2 linked regions of the Alligator mississippiensis genome follow. The protein of the gene in region 1 interacts with the protein of each later gene in a pairwise test. Links are inferred from orthologs where the notes say so. Each region holds a gene or a part of one and is shown on either strand. Other genes may lie near its edges.

The links. The genes of interacting proteins can lie anywhere in the genome.
Region 2: the proteins of EEA1 (region 1) and RAB5B interact in binary tests that used the Homo sapiens proteins (3 or more experiments, as listed by UniProt). The link is inferred for Alligator mississippiensis from reciprocal best matches to the Homo sapiens genes EEA1 and RAB5B.

What each region holds. Positions count from the first base shown.
Region 1 is NC_081827.1:87,635,751-87,642,999, reverse strand, and holds the start of EEA1 (early endosome antigen 1), read left to right. Parts: upstream 1-4,239; 5' UTR 4,240-4,333; coding exon 4,334-4,357; intron 4,358-7,249. UniProt on the Homo sapiens protein: Binds phospholipid vesicles containing phosphatidylinositol 3-phosphate and participates in endosomal trafficking.
Region 2 is NC_081838.1:6,932,704-6,939,830, reverse strand, and holds the start of RAB5B (ras-related protein Rab-5B), read right to left. Parts: upstream 3,035-7,127; 5' UTR 2,931-3,034; intron 2,767-2,930; exon of another isoform or gene 2,316-2,766; intron 1,486-2,315; exon of another isoform or gene 1-1,485. Other genes in the region: CDK2 (cyclin-dependent kinase 2), read right to left, coding at 5,850-5,954, 6,225-6,428, 7,106-7,127. UniProt on the Homo sapiens protein: The small GTPases Rab are key regulators of intracellular membrane trafficking, from the formation of transport vesicles to their fusion with membranes.

The sequences.
Region 1 (7,249 bases):
GTCTGTACCTAGCCTAAGTTCACGCAAAAAATATTAGTAAATATCTTGACATACTTAAGGAATGCTTTTTTTTTTCCAGGCAGGTGATAGTCTATCTCCCCTTGCCCAAATTTGGTATAGTAGCCACAAGACACACCAAATATCAAGACAATCTGAGTGAACATGTGAATTTTATAACCTTTGGCCTTTAAATATAAGAGGGTCTTAACTATGACAGCTGGCACTCTAGTCTTTGTTATGCTTAACTTAATTACTAGTAAAATACAGTTTTATTATAGAATTTGATCACTTGCATCCCTTTTTCTTGTTTTCAATCTAAAATGACTGTTTTACTACAGAAAAAGCATTTTTTTAATTGAATAACTTATCCTGCCTTGCATTGCTATTTAGCTGACACCCTGCCAACAACATTCTATTCATTTTTTGTCTTAGCATCAATAAATACAGGGTTTTTCTGTTACTGTTTATTTTTTGGCTATAGAAGCCATCATTTTTGGAATGAAATGGGAAAAAACTATAGCCTCTATTGTATTGTATGGGTCAGATTAATTATCTCTTTCAGCCTTAACATCTGTAGAAAAAGTGTGTGTGTATGTGGTTTTATGTATGTTAAAGAGCAAAGATCAAAGTGAAATGGGGCTGAAAAGATCTTTTTTGAATGCTTTCAAGATCTGGTGATATTTTGCAACATATTTGCAGCTGAGTGCTCAGTTAATGGAGCAATTGCTCACGCAAAATTTCATTTTTGGTTAAAGTTCTAGATAAATTATTGAGATAAAAATATTTTTATATGAATGTGCAACTGCTCATGCAGCTTTATCATGTTTTATGCTTAAAATGGTCTTTAACACATTAACATCAATATCTTTCAGAGCAACTTTGTTCCTTATTTAGAGCATTCAGTGAGGAGTTACTTCAAATTCTCTTTTACAGACCATCTTGTCTCATCCATATAATGGAAAAATGTAGTTTATAAGCGCATTCTTTTGCAGCTGTGGCCCTTATTCCAGGCTAAAGAACTGCCTATTGGCTAATCTTGAAAATAAATTGACAGATAAGCCAATCAGACACAAGGGAGAGGGATTATTTCAGGTCATTCCAGGCAGTTATTTTGCCCCTTCTGCCTCAGTGTACAGAGATATCTGCATCCAGGGTAAAAGACAAAGTGCATTACAAGAAGATGACATTACTGTAAGTCAGAAATATTGGTAATGAGATGGAAGAAAGCAGAACAAGTAAAATAAAATTGTCCATGTAATGTTAAGCCAGATCATGCATTTCCCCCGTATAGTCAATGAACGTTTGTCTTTATAAAGACTGGGGGCTGTAAGGGTTGGCATATAGGATATTAAAATTAGGATTGGATTAAGAAAATTCTAAAGAATCTATTCATCAAGAAGGAGATGGCGTGAGAGATGGAATAAGAACAAAACTCTTCTGCCTCGTTTTTATAGTTTTCAAAGGTGGGCAGAGCAAGTACTCTCAAATGGTTTACAACTGCTAGTGAAGGTTTGGTGGTTTGCCAAGAGAGGCATGTGACTCCAGTCACCCTGGATCTGTCAAGGCAATGTACGCAGAGAACACCATTTGGCAAATAATGTTGCTAGTAGAAAATTAAGTTTGATAAGCTGATTGCAGGATTGAGCAGACAGATTGCAACACAGGGAGAAAGAGCACACAGGGAGAAAGTGTTGGAATTAAAGATACATTCAAATTTGATTTGCTTTCCTTTCTCTGATCAAGGTTTAGTTTGGGTGAGATTTTTTTAACCTGCTGCTTCACAACACTTTATTTGAGAGCAGTGCTTTAGGAAAACCCCCATGTTGCCCTGAGAATTTGAACCCAGGCTTTTTACCACTGAAGAAGTTCCGAAAAGGCTCAATGTTCCTTTGAAGTCAATGGGAGGTAAGTGTTTTTAGCCATAAGCGGGACTAAGCCCCAGGAGAAGCAAACAAGACAAGAACTACATAAAGAATATTCTAAGCTTCCCTCATGCTCCCGTCTGTGATATTATTACCCAGGAATTTTTATCAGTTGCAGAGCGCCTGACTAGTAAAACAGCACCTTTGTGTACAGAACAAGGCATAATAACTTTCATCAGTAGCAAAAGCTATAGTTAAAGGACTACAACTCAGCTTTCATTGCAAATTTCAGTGTTTCAAATACAGACCAATTAGCCATCTGCAATAAGAGATTCTGAAGGATTTTATTTTAAAACTAAGAAGTGTGCCACCAAATTACTGCTTATTTTTCTTGCATAGCTTATCTCCGTAAATTCCTTCTAAAGTATTGAGCGGAAAGTAAGGAAACAATTAAATTACATTTCTTTCCTTTTTCATTTGCTGCTTTAGAGATGAGACACCACTGGGTAAGCAAAGAGCGGAGGGGGGGGTGCATGCTGACAAAAATCTGGAATAAATATAAACATATTAATTCAAAGTAAAGGAAATAATGAATCAAGAGTTTGAAATTCAGCAACGTTTTAAAATAATGAACATGGGAAAAGAAAAAACCTGCTTTGACAACTATATTATTATTAATACTAGTTAGCCAGATTCTAATACTATGAAATAAGGTTACTGCAGTCTCTTTCATTAGGAGCTATTAGTCTGTTGATTAAAGGGTGGGGTGGCAAAATAGCTAAGGCAGTGGTTCTCAGCCTTCTTAAACCTGAGGCCCCTCCTCCTCCCCTCAGAAAATGCCAGCTCTTAGCTTTCTCTTATCTCCTAACTATGGAAAAATGATCGAGCAGTTTCTTTGGTTGGAAAGAACTCTGAAAGACCACAACAGATCAGGAAGTTTGTGACACAACAGACTCTTGCTTGAAATCTCTGGGTTTATTTTGAGGCTCCCATGTAGGAGTTTGCACCCATAAAAATATCTCACAGCAACCTGGTTGAGAATCACTAGAAATCTTAATGTAGTCCTAGGCCTTCAATGCTGGAGGCGAACTGGACAGGGTGGGAGAGTGGGGAGCCCTGGTTGCCCTGCTCACTCTCCCTTTCAGCCTCCACTCTCTGCCAGGGTGTGACATGGGGCTAGTTGCATTGCAGTGGAAACGTGGGCCAATGTCCACCATGTAAAGCTGAATGCCTCCCTTAATTTGGGGGCCCATTGAGTGATTACTGGGGACAACTGAATAAAACAGGGATGGGCGTGAAAGTCAGAGGTTCAAAATGAGCACATCAAGGTGCACAAGCGACTGGTAGGTGGGGCACGTGCCCCCCCAGATTGGCCACCAACTCAGCACCGCTTAGGATGGGGCAATTTTTTTGCCGTGCGGGCCAGCCATGTCTTGGTGCTGGGGGGGATTAAGCTGTGGCACAGAAGTATAGGAGTGGATATACGGGGCTTTTGGCTCGCCCACAAATTGTCTGTCCCACGCTCTGGAGGCACCAGTCACCCCTGTCAAGGTGGGAAGGCGCTAGTGCCAGTGCCCACTGCCCTCCAATTAGCCCAAGGAGCCAGGGGGCACTGCCCAGTGACACAGTCCCCAGAGACATAAGCACACCAAAGGCAGGAAAATGACCCTGCAATCCCAGGGGGTCCTGCGGCCTGATGCCCTTCCTGGTCAGGCACAGGGGACTGATGCCTCCCGAGTCTGGGGGGCGCCAGATTGCCAAAGGGTGAGGGGCCGGATGACGACCCCCAGTGGCCGATCGCTGAGCCAGCAGCAAAACTGGAGGTGCGTGTCCAGTTTCACGGCTGGCGCTTCCAGGGGGCGCGTGGCCGATCTCACTGTGGTCAGGGCAAGCTTGGCAAGGGCCAGGAGGAGGTTGACCAGGCCTTTTGATGTGTCACTGGGCAAGCGTGGGCCTCGGCCCACCACGTAAAAGCTGTAAGGCCGCATCGGTGATGGGGCCACTAAAGGCGTATCGCTGACTTGTGGGGCAAATAAGAAACGTAACAGCCGGAGCGCTGGGCACAGCTGTGCAGGCAGTGCGCTGAGGCAGCGCCCAGTGAAACCGCCCAGACCTGCGAGCGGGAAGGGGCCGGGAAACGCCCCGCCCGCCCGCCCGCCCCAGGGCCCACGGCCGGAGCCTCCTCCCGGTTACTATCCGGCAGTGAGGCAGGGCCAAGAGAGGGCTGGCCAGGACGGCCCGGGCGCGCTGCGCGCGGGACTCGGAGCCGAGCGGGGGCAGCGCCACGCCACGCCCCGCCGCCAGGCCCCGCCCGCTGTGCCCGGGCTCCGCCTGCCGGGCGGCGCCGCTGTCAGGGCGCGGGCGGAGCTGGGCCGGGCCGGGCCGGGCCGGGCGCTGCTGCCCCGTGGGCGGCGTGGCGCGGCGCGGCGCGGCGTCCCGTCCCCTGCCCGGCGGGATCCAGCACCGGCACCATGTTCAGGCGGATCCTGCAGCGGGTAAGAGGCGCGCGAGGCCCGGCCCGGCCCGGCCCGGCCCGGCCCCTCCCCTCCCTGGAGGCGCCGGCGGACTCAGGCCCCTTCCCCGCCCGCCTCGGCTGCGAGCCCGCCTGCCCGCCCGGCATGGGGGTGCTGCGGGCCCGGCGCGGGGGCGGGGCTCGGCCGGCGTCCAGCTCCGCCTGAGCTGGGGCCCTCCTGCGTCTGCCCCAGCGCCAGCGCCAGCCCCGCGGCCGCCCCGGGGGCAGGGGGCTCCGCTGCGGCCGCCTCGCTGAGCTCTCCCGGCTGGGGCCGCCCCTCCTCCTGCAAAGCCGGCGCGGTGCGTGGCCGGCGCCTCTTCCCCTCGCCCGGGTTCGGCTTCCTTGGGAGCGGCCCTGCCAAGGTGGCTTCCTGAGTTGGGGTTGCCTTGGCCTGGGGGAGCCGGGGGGGGGTCTTCGTCTGCTGAGTCCGGCTGGGGGAGAAAGAGTCGAGTCACTGGTCTCCGACAGCTCCCCGCAGCTCCCCGGCCCTGTCAGGCGTGTCCAGCTCCCGTGGCATGGACGTGCTGAAAAGCACTTGGGGGGGCTTCAGGTTTCCAGAAGGTTTCGTGTCTCCTCAAAAGAAGGTTTCTGCTGAGGGGAGACAGGCTTTGAAGCAGGGGGTCTAACAACCCTGAGTGGCTTGGTGCCCTTCGACTATCTCGAGTACAGCCCCGGCAGACGGTTGTGCGCAGGGAGGCGGGGTGCACGTCTGTGTTTTGGAGCCCATTGCAGCTGAGGGTGGCAATTCTCACCCAGAGAGCCTGCCACAGCACTCCGGGTTGCCTTCAGATCCTTTCAGGAGTGCCACATAGTATTAGCTCCTTTAAGTTTACAACTGGTAGGTTTACAAATGATTTGTAAGATAAACCCCAAGATTTCAAATGGAAATCCATAGTCATGGTCCTTCTGAGCTCTTCGCAGAAGAAAAAAACCACTCTATTATTTTTCTGTAGGTCAAAAAAAAAAAAAGAGTGAAAATTAAGAGCTGGTTTTCTCTGAGGGCTGCCTCACATCTGCATAGACCTGAGAGACCTTCTAGATAGGGGTGCCACAAGTCTAAAGAAGGTTGAGAAGTCCTGGCTTAGGGCAACCTTAAGCTTCAACAGTGTTTTTGTCATCGTTCCTAAATAGACAGCCAAATCATGCCCTTTTGGAAGTTATTGTTTACAAGGAAGAGTTTCCTTTCTGAAATTTGTTGGAAACCAAATTAGGCAGCAACAAAACTGGAGTGCTGATCCAGTTAAGTATTGTTCATATTAATTAGGTGCATTTGATCTTGGGAGATTACCTGTGTTTGGAACAATTTATTTAATACAGGGAAAACTTTAAGTGATACTGCTAATTGATATTTTGTCCACAATCTAAATTTAATATACGAGATCTATGATCAAAGACAAGACCAATATAAACACCTTACATTTTTTCTGTGTAGACAGTTGTTTTAAAAATGTTTTAGAAATGAATAAATAAGAGACAAGTATAAGTCTCCATGTGGTTTTTGAAACTGAGTATTGTAGCACTGTGGAAAATGAATTGCTATGGAAGCAGAACTGTTAGTGGCTGAGTTGAGGGAAATAAAAGAATGAACAGAAAGACAAGGGCCAGATTTATTTTTAAAGGTATGGCTTGAGAGGGAGCTGTCTAAATGCCTTTAAAAATCTGGCCACAAGGGACTGACTAGACTTCTGAAAACTTTACTTTTTTGATAATCTTGTGTTCCTTAATAATAATAAAAATTGTATAAACAGTCTATGTACGACTTATCCTGGGAATAGCTGCTGGTAGGAGGTCTACACATGACAAAATACGAGGAAGACTCCTGATAGTCATTGGCATTCAAAAGCATCCATCACTCTTTACTTTGTCTTCATACAATTTAAACTTTAAAACCAGAGTCCCCAGAGACAACTCATTAAAGTCTTCTTAGAAAAAAGAACCCACATGGGCCTTTAGTGTGTGTCATTAGCACAGCTGGTCGATAATGAAGGAAATCAAATACACTTTCAGTTGCTGGCACACATTTCCTCATGTGTATTTTAAATCAGTTTTTTGGTTACTTTTCTGGTTGTTATTTGAATTTGGTTAATTCCCTTCTGCCTAAGCCTGACAGTAGCCACTGTTAATGTTATAATTTGAATACTGAAATTATGCACCAAAGGGACACCTTTTTTTATTTTGAAAGTCCTCATTTGCCATAACAATCTTAAAGGCAGCTGCAACTGAGCAGGACCTCACTTTAGTTTTTGAAGTTAGCACCTCCGTGTCATCTGCAACTTGGAACACTTTCTAGGCTCTTTAGTACATACAGACTGTCTACATTGAGTTGATTGTTTCTTAACAGGACCAAGAAACAGCTTCTCTCTTGTCTACCCAGAGCAATTTCTTGTCCAGCCTCATCTCACTGCTGCAGTGTCTTTCTTGACTTCCTAGACCACTCCATTCCTTACCCTCCACCCCCATGTATGTCTATCCAGAATGTCTTACTGTTTTTTGTACCTAGCTATTGTCTCTTGCCTGATGCTTGGATACTCTTTTTAGGGACATCCTTTTCATCTTCTGTCTGCACAGTGGCTAGGATAATAGCACCACGACTAGGGGCTCTTAGGCTCTACAGTAATACACTTAATAAAGATGGGGTATGTGTCATCTCTGAACTTGGAGATTGACCTAGAAGGTGGCATGTTCATCAGCTGTTCATGGCATCCCATGACATTTAAAAGGTGGGGTCAGTGGGAAGAAGTTAAGTCTAGTAGGTCACAGTCCAGCAATTGGATCTACAGAGGTAGACCCTTGTACTCGTATGGAAGTCCATTGACTTCATGGATCTGATTTTTAGCATGGGAACTGAAGACTTTAAGCCTGGTTTCATTTTCTC
Region 2 (7,127 bases), on another chromosome or scaffold:
CAGGCAGCGAAGCACCATGGGCCCATCCCGGAAGTGAGGTCCTGCCCCACAATGGCCTCAGCCCTTCCTTCATCTGTGAGCTCCCTGGTACCAGGCTGCTTGACTCTCCCAGCACTGAGCAGCATCCCGGGGTGGCCCCTAGGCACAACCACACCTAATGAGAAGCTAGGAAGGATCCAGGATCCCAGCTGGGACAGACGCATGCTGTCCCCATGCTGCTCACACCTGCTAAATCCAGGGTGTCCAGCACTGGGATCTGATGGGCTAACACCCACCAATCAGCAGCAAGCAGCTTCAAGGAGCCCAGGTCCATCCAGCTTCCTTCGCTCACCCCGGGTCTCCCTGCTGGCTAGGGAACCAATTCCTAGTAGGTCAAAGCTCACTCCGCCAGCCCCCAGCTGCAGCCCAGACCTCCGAAAGGACCCGCTTCTGGGTGCAACGCAGCTGCTGTGAACTGAGCCACCGCTACTACGAACGCACCTGACCAGCCAGGTCTGATGAGCAAAATCAGGAGCCACCAGGCAATGAGAAGTGCAGCCAACTGCACCTCCTCCCCTACCATCCACCCCCTTCCGTTCCACAAGGGGCTGCGGGAGCGCCAAGGCAGCGCCAGCCCAGCAGCTGAGCGGGGGTCAAGGTCATTCCTGGAGCCAGGCTCTCACACACCTGACCTCTGTGGGCGAGGAGAGACGGTGTCCCTTGCTGCCACCCAGAGCAAGTTAAACCTGTGTGGGCTGAGGCAGCAGATCCCCACAGCAAGTGAACTCCTAGCACAATGGAAGGCAGGTGCAGGGCTGGCTAGACTCCCCCACCCCCGACGGCCCTGGCTCTGGGAGGCTGCAGCAGGCCCGTCTAAGCTGTGCTGGCAGAGAAGGGGCATCTCCCGAGAGAGCCCGAGGTGGGTTGCAACAGCCTGCCTGGGTTAACTGCTTTCCTGTTGCCAGCGAGACTTTTCCTCTGTCCCAATCGCCTGCGGCACCAACAGCCACCACCAGAACAGCGCACAGGGCTCCGGCCTGCCTGGGGCTCCCAACATTGCCACCAGCCAGCGAGCAAGCGCCTAAACACCCCAAACCGCAGGTATGGGTGCAGCTACTCGCACGGCCCTTCCAATGCCCAAGCCACTAGCGTCCATGGGCATTCTTGGAGCGAGGGTTACCACGAGATGATCTACTGAGGTCCCTTCTGACCCTAACATGTATGAATCTGAGAGCAGAGAAGCTGGGGCCTCAGCTGGATCCGGGCGATATCCTGCAATGGGACAAGAGAAGTGGGGCTCTTCGCTCTGGGAGATGGGCCCCGGTCCCACCCCCAAGTCCCTGGTGAATCTAGGCAGGTTCCCCAGATATATGCTTGGCTTCCTCCCCTCTTAACAGAGTAGCAGGAAGGCCCCGAGGCCCCACCCCAGCCTCAGCGGGGGCCAGGCTCATCTTCATTAGCTTCCAGGTACTGTCCTAGCAGCAGCCCCCACGGCAGCTGCTGCTCGCACTCAAGCTCCGTGGCGCTCCCCCCTCACCAGCCTCCCCCAGCCCCAGCAGCCCAGCCGCTGCCCACAGGTTGCTTAACGCCACATGAAGGAGTCACCATGGCCAGGTAGCAACTCTCCTGCTTCACCCACACGTCGTTGGGCCTCCGATTCCATTGACTCCAGCCTGGGGGTCCATCCACGCCCTGAGGAACAGCTGCAGGGACCCGCCGCTGGGGCCCCGTTCAGGCAGAGCAAGGGCAAGATCCTCTGCTCCCCAGCATGTCTTGCCTGCTGCCCTGGGGATGCTGCTTCCCAGCACCAGGCTGTTCCTCACCACTGCCACAAGCCCGAACAAGTAGCAATTTGGTCAAATCCAGGCCTATCTCCAGAAGTCGTCAGAGCCGATGTCACGGGAGGAACCAGAGTTGTGCATGGCTTTGTCAGGCTTCGTGACCAGGGATCGGATCTGGCATCGCCAGCTTGAGCAGCAGGCTCCAGACGCCCCACCAGAGCACCCCCCAGAGCCTGCATGAGGCCCCGGACCCAGGCGCCATCCAGTGGGGCCGGCAGCAAGGCCGTGGGAGCAAATCCGTGCACCCACCACCAAGAAGGGAAACGCGAGCTGCGAAGGAAGCCTGGGGGTTGAGCCCATTTCTGCACCCCCTAAAAGAAGAGCGAGGCACAGAAGCACCCAGAGGGGAGGGCACCAGATAGGGCCGGGTCCAACGTTTCCAGAGGGAGATGCTCCGACCCCCGCAGTGTTATCTCCAGGACGCCCGGTGCGGCTCCAGGAGGCCCAGCAGCAGCTACCCACTGCCTGCAGGGGGGTCCCCCGGGAGGGGCTCACCTGAGACCCGGGAACAGAGCCCCCAAATCCTCACTTCACCTGCGAGCGCCGCTGGCCTCTCGCCCACAGCCCTCTGAGCCCCTGATGGAGGGAAGGGGAAAAGGCACTGCCTGCTCCAGCTGGACCAGAAGTGGGGCCCTGCCCAGCCGGGGAATGGAGAGAAGCCACTTCCTGGCACAAACCAGGCATGGGGGGCACAAGTAGGGGTGCAGGGACCCCTGAAGCCTTGACCCCTGGGGGACAACCCCTGATTTGGGGGAGGGGGGCATGGGAAGGGAGGGCAAGGGCATCCAAGCCCTGGAAAGGAGGGGGGGGGCAATGCCTCCTGAGCTGGGGGGAGGAGGGAATGTCCCGTGCGGGGGGGCAGTGCCCTCTGAACTGGGGGGAGAGGGAATGATTCGTGCGGAGAGGGGCACTGCCCCCTGAGCTGGGGGAGCAATGACCCGGGGGGGTGGCACTGCCCCTTGAGCTGGGGGGAATAATGATCCGTAGGTTCACGTGCCCCCACCTCAGCCCCGCCCCCTCTTACCCCCGGGCCCAGGCCCCTTAGCCCCCCCCCCCAGGCCCCGGCCCAGACCCCACCCCCAGAAAACCCCCTCCCCCCCGCCCCAATACCGGAGGCGGCAGCGGCGCAGACTCCCCCGTCGCGGCCCCAGCGCCGAGCACACAAACAGCTGCTCAACCAAACCCTCCTCCGCCGGGCGGGGATAAGGGGCGGCGCAGCCAATAAGCGCCGGGCACCTGAAGGCTGGCACCGCCTCCTCCAGGCCTGCCGACCAATGGCGCTCTGCGTCAGACCACCACGGTCCGGCGCACTAATGAGCGGTGAGAACTGGCGGGACGGGCAGCGGGATCGGACCAATGGCGAACGGGGAGAGGGTGAGAGCGGTTGGCCAATAGAAAGGGTAGGCGTCGTGAAGGGGTGGATCTTAGGTTAAGTGACGGAAGAGGAGGCCAATGGGAGCGGCTGTGACTTCGGGGGCTTCATCAACAACAAATAAGGTGACCTAAATGGGCGGCACTCAATAGGACACTGACCAATCAGTTCTCGGGATGCCTTCGCCGCTGCCCAATCACAAGGCAAAAGGGCACCGCTTCGACCACTCAAAGAGCGAGTAGGAGTTGATTGACAGGGGACCCAAACTCCCCCCCTTGTTGGGCGGGCCCAAGGCCGCCCAGGCCTCTTTTAGCGCCAATCAGAGACGGGCTGGAGCATGATGGACAGGCGTGTGAGGGAGGGCCATGAGCGGGTGCCCCCGCGAGAATTTTAACCTTTAACCTCAATTGTATTACTGCTAATTAGCTCAGCTGAGGCTGAAGCTGACTCCAGCCCTGGGGGCGGGGCCAAGTGGGGGCATAGGGAGTTGGCCTGGACCACAGGGGCGTGGCCCACAGGGAAAGGGCGGGGCTAAATTTTGGGCGGGACTTGTGGACGGGGCGTGGTCTGTTGCCAAGAGGCGGGGCTCGTGGGTAGGGGCGTGACCTATACAAGGGGAACTGCAATTTGGGCGGGGCTTACGGGGTGGGGCGGGGCCTATGTCCAGAGTGCCGGTGGACAGGGGCGGGGCACGTGGGTAAGGGACCGGGCTTAAAGGCCAGGAGTAGGAAGCAGGCCCGAGCCCTGGAGGCCCCAGCACAGCCAGGTCTGGGGTGCGGCAGTCCCAGGCCAGGGTCCTGGGCCCAGCCCCAAAGACGCACCCCTGGCCCAGGAGCTTGGGGTGCTGCCAGGGCCCAGGGGCTCGGTCTGGCAGCCACGCTCCTGCCTGGCTGAGTCAGCCCCAGAAGCCGTATATGGAGCCTGCGCAGCCTCCAGTCCCCTATACAAGCAGGTGTCTGCTGCCCTGGGGCCTTGGGCCGCTTTCTCCGGCCTGGAGGGGGGCAAGGAGCTGCAGTGGGGGCGTATCCTTGTGAGGAACACAGGACTTCTCCCATGTCCTCGGCTCTGGGCTCACTGCAGCCTTGTAGGGGCAAGGGGGACGGGTCTCACTCCTGTCTCCCACTCCAAACCCCAGCTCTTGACCCCAGTTCTGACTTCAGACCCCCCCTCCCTACACCCAGTGCCCTGGGGGGATGGATGTGGGTTGGCCCTGTGCTCTAGGTGACCAGCCACCCGCATTCCCGAGAGCTGAAGACCCAAGGGCATTTGAAGCCCAGGTCTGATCACTTCCACGGGAACTGCTGCTAGGCCTCGGTGACCTCCCTGGAGTGGCTCCCGGAAAGCCCGCAGCACGGTGGAGCCCCAAGGCCCTGGCTAACACTGCAGCCAGGGCAAGGAGCAGCACCTGGGCTTCAGCCTCTGCAAATAAACCCTTGGTTGCGGGCAGGGCTAAAACGCAGAAAATCTTTTAATGATCCGTGAACTCGGTACAGAAGACGCGACGCTTGGTATGAAAACTCGGCAAGACAGAGTCAGAGGCAAAACTACTCGACAGGGCTCATCTGCCTTAAAAAAAGAGCTTCGTTTACAAAAAAGGCCAAGGTGCTTTTTCTAATCAACTCTGTACAAACTGCTTTAAAACCCGCCCCCCCACCACGCTGTGCACATGCTGCCCCGCGAGGCGCCTTGTGCTCCCAGCTGCCGCCAGCAGTCCCATCCCAGCTGCTGCCGATCCCTCCAGTAGCTCTGAGGACCAGGGGGCCGGAGCTTTGTGTTGGGAATCAGCCCTCCTGCTGGCGCCAGGTGCGCACTGATGCTGGTCCTTAGCTCTGGCAGGTTCCCATTGGATCTGGAGCTCAGTCCGGGCCCTGCCTTTCTTGCTCAGCAAGGGGTCAGAGAAAGGGCTCTGTTCCCTGGAGAGAGGGAAGCACCAAGAGGCCAGCTCCAGGGGAAGGATCACGTGCCCAGCAAGGGAGATGTGGCTTCTGGCCCACGCTTGAGCAGCTAGCAAGGAGAAACAGTTACTCCAGCTGGGGCTGCTCCCCACCTCTTCCCTTATTTGCTATAGCAGGGCACGGACAAGCCCCCTGGATGTGGTGCTCACAGCAGCCCCTGCCCCTCGCTCCAATCTGAGTTCATGAGGCCAGCAGCCTCTGGGCACAGAAGCTGTGAGCTTCACGTGTATGGGGGGGCACCCCACCCCCTGCCTTTGCCATGGAGGCAGCCAGACCCAGCACTGAGGCCACCCCCCTGGGTCCAGTGCAGATATACAGGGAGGGACCGATCCTGCCAGAGGAAGGCGGAGGCTGGGCAGGAGCCCTAGGGGCCCAGCTGCTGGTGCTGGCAGCGGGATCCGTTCCTTGCTGGGTCCATGGCAGTTCCTGCCTGTCACTGCGGAGCAATTGCTGCGGCTGGGGGGAACCCAGTGAAAGGCCCTTGGGACGAGGGGGGCAGATCCTGGGAAAGGCGACAGGAGAGGAGCCCTGCTGCCAGCATCAGAGCCTGATCCACGCCGAGGGCAAGGACCTGCACCCAGGGTGGGAGCTGGTCAGGCCCCGGCCCCTCTGGGCCCCACAGTCAGTTCAGAGCTGGGCAGCAAGGGGCAGGGAGAAAGGCTCCGGTGAGGCTGGGCATTGGCTCCCTGCCCCGGGGCGGCCTCACAGGCGCAGGTGTGGCACGGCTTTGGTGACATCCCGGAAGAAGGGGTGGCCCAGCGCTGACTTGGCCGAGATGCGCTTGTTGGGGTCGTAGTGCAGCATTTGCTGGGGAAGAGAGGGGGGAGGCGGGTTAGGCCAGGCAACCGAGGGAGCCCAGCTGGGTTGCACTCTCCTTCTCCACCACCCCAAAATGCTAAGAGCCAGAGCTGGCACGTGAGCTCCCCCAGCCCCGGTTTCTCCTGCTGTTCCTCCTGCCTGTTTGCTCCCAGCACAGAGGGGACTAGAAAGTTAGTTTCCTTCTGGGCAAGCCAGGCACCAGCTCTGACCCTGCTCTCCCAGAGCCTCGAACCTTGGGCCCAGTAGCGGACTACTCACAGCCAAGAGCTTCCTGCCCTCCTCGTCCAGCGGGGGCACCACCTTGCTGAAGTCCTGCCGGGCCCACTTGGGGAAGCTGGGCTTGTAGTCAGGCATGGAGGTGACTCCAGGCCACACAGCCTCATCCGGGGTGCCCAGCGTGCGGAAGATGCGGAACAGTTGGTCGATCTCGGAGTCACCAGGGAACAGGGCTCGGCGGGTGATCTGGGAGGGGCAGAAGAAAACCATGGGGGGCACCTGGGGGCCAGGTAGGAGGTCTAGGTGCTTGACGAGCCACTTAGACTCAATGCCTTCCCTGGAGGAAATCTGCTGAGCACCGGACACTGGGCTCTGCGCAGGGGTTAGGGTGGCAGGCTCGCGGGGGGCTGAACTGGGACTGGCCGGGTGGGGGGGGCCTGGCTGCCGAGGATAACACCAGGTCCCAGAAAGGCTGTGCCCAGATGGAGCCGAATCCCATGGGAAGCATCTCCCCCCCTCGCAATGTGACATGGACCCCATTCCATGTGACCCTCTCTGCCAGCACCCGGTCCCAGGACACCCCCTGCCCTGGGGAGGAGGAAATACCAGGCTGGCACGCTGCGGCCTGCACCCCACCCCAGTCCACAAGGTCCCTTTCTTCCCTGGGCCCTGCTGGGCGTCAGCAGCCCTTTGCGTGGCCGGTTGTGACGTCTCTGCTGGCCCAGCACAGCCCCGGGGCCTAGCTCTGCAGCTCCAGCTGGGGGGGAGGGAAGGGGGGCATGGGGGCCGCGCCAGGGACTTGGCTCCGAGCCAGCTTGCACTGGGAGCTGCCCTGCCCTGCTCATATTAAGGCTCATCTTCCCTCCCGCCATTCTTGCCTGCCACGGAGTGGGACCCCCGCACCCCCCACAACGGCCACGCACCATCTCAGCAAAGATGCAGCCC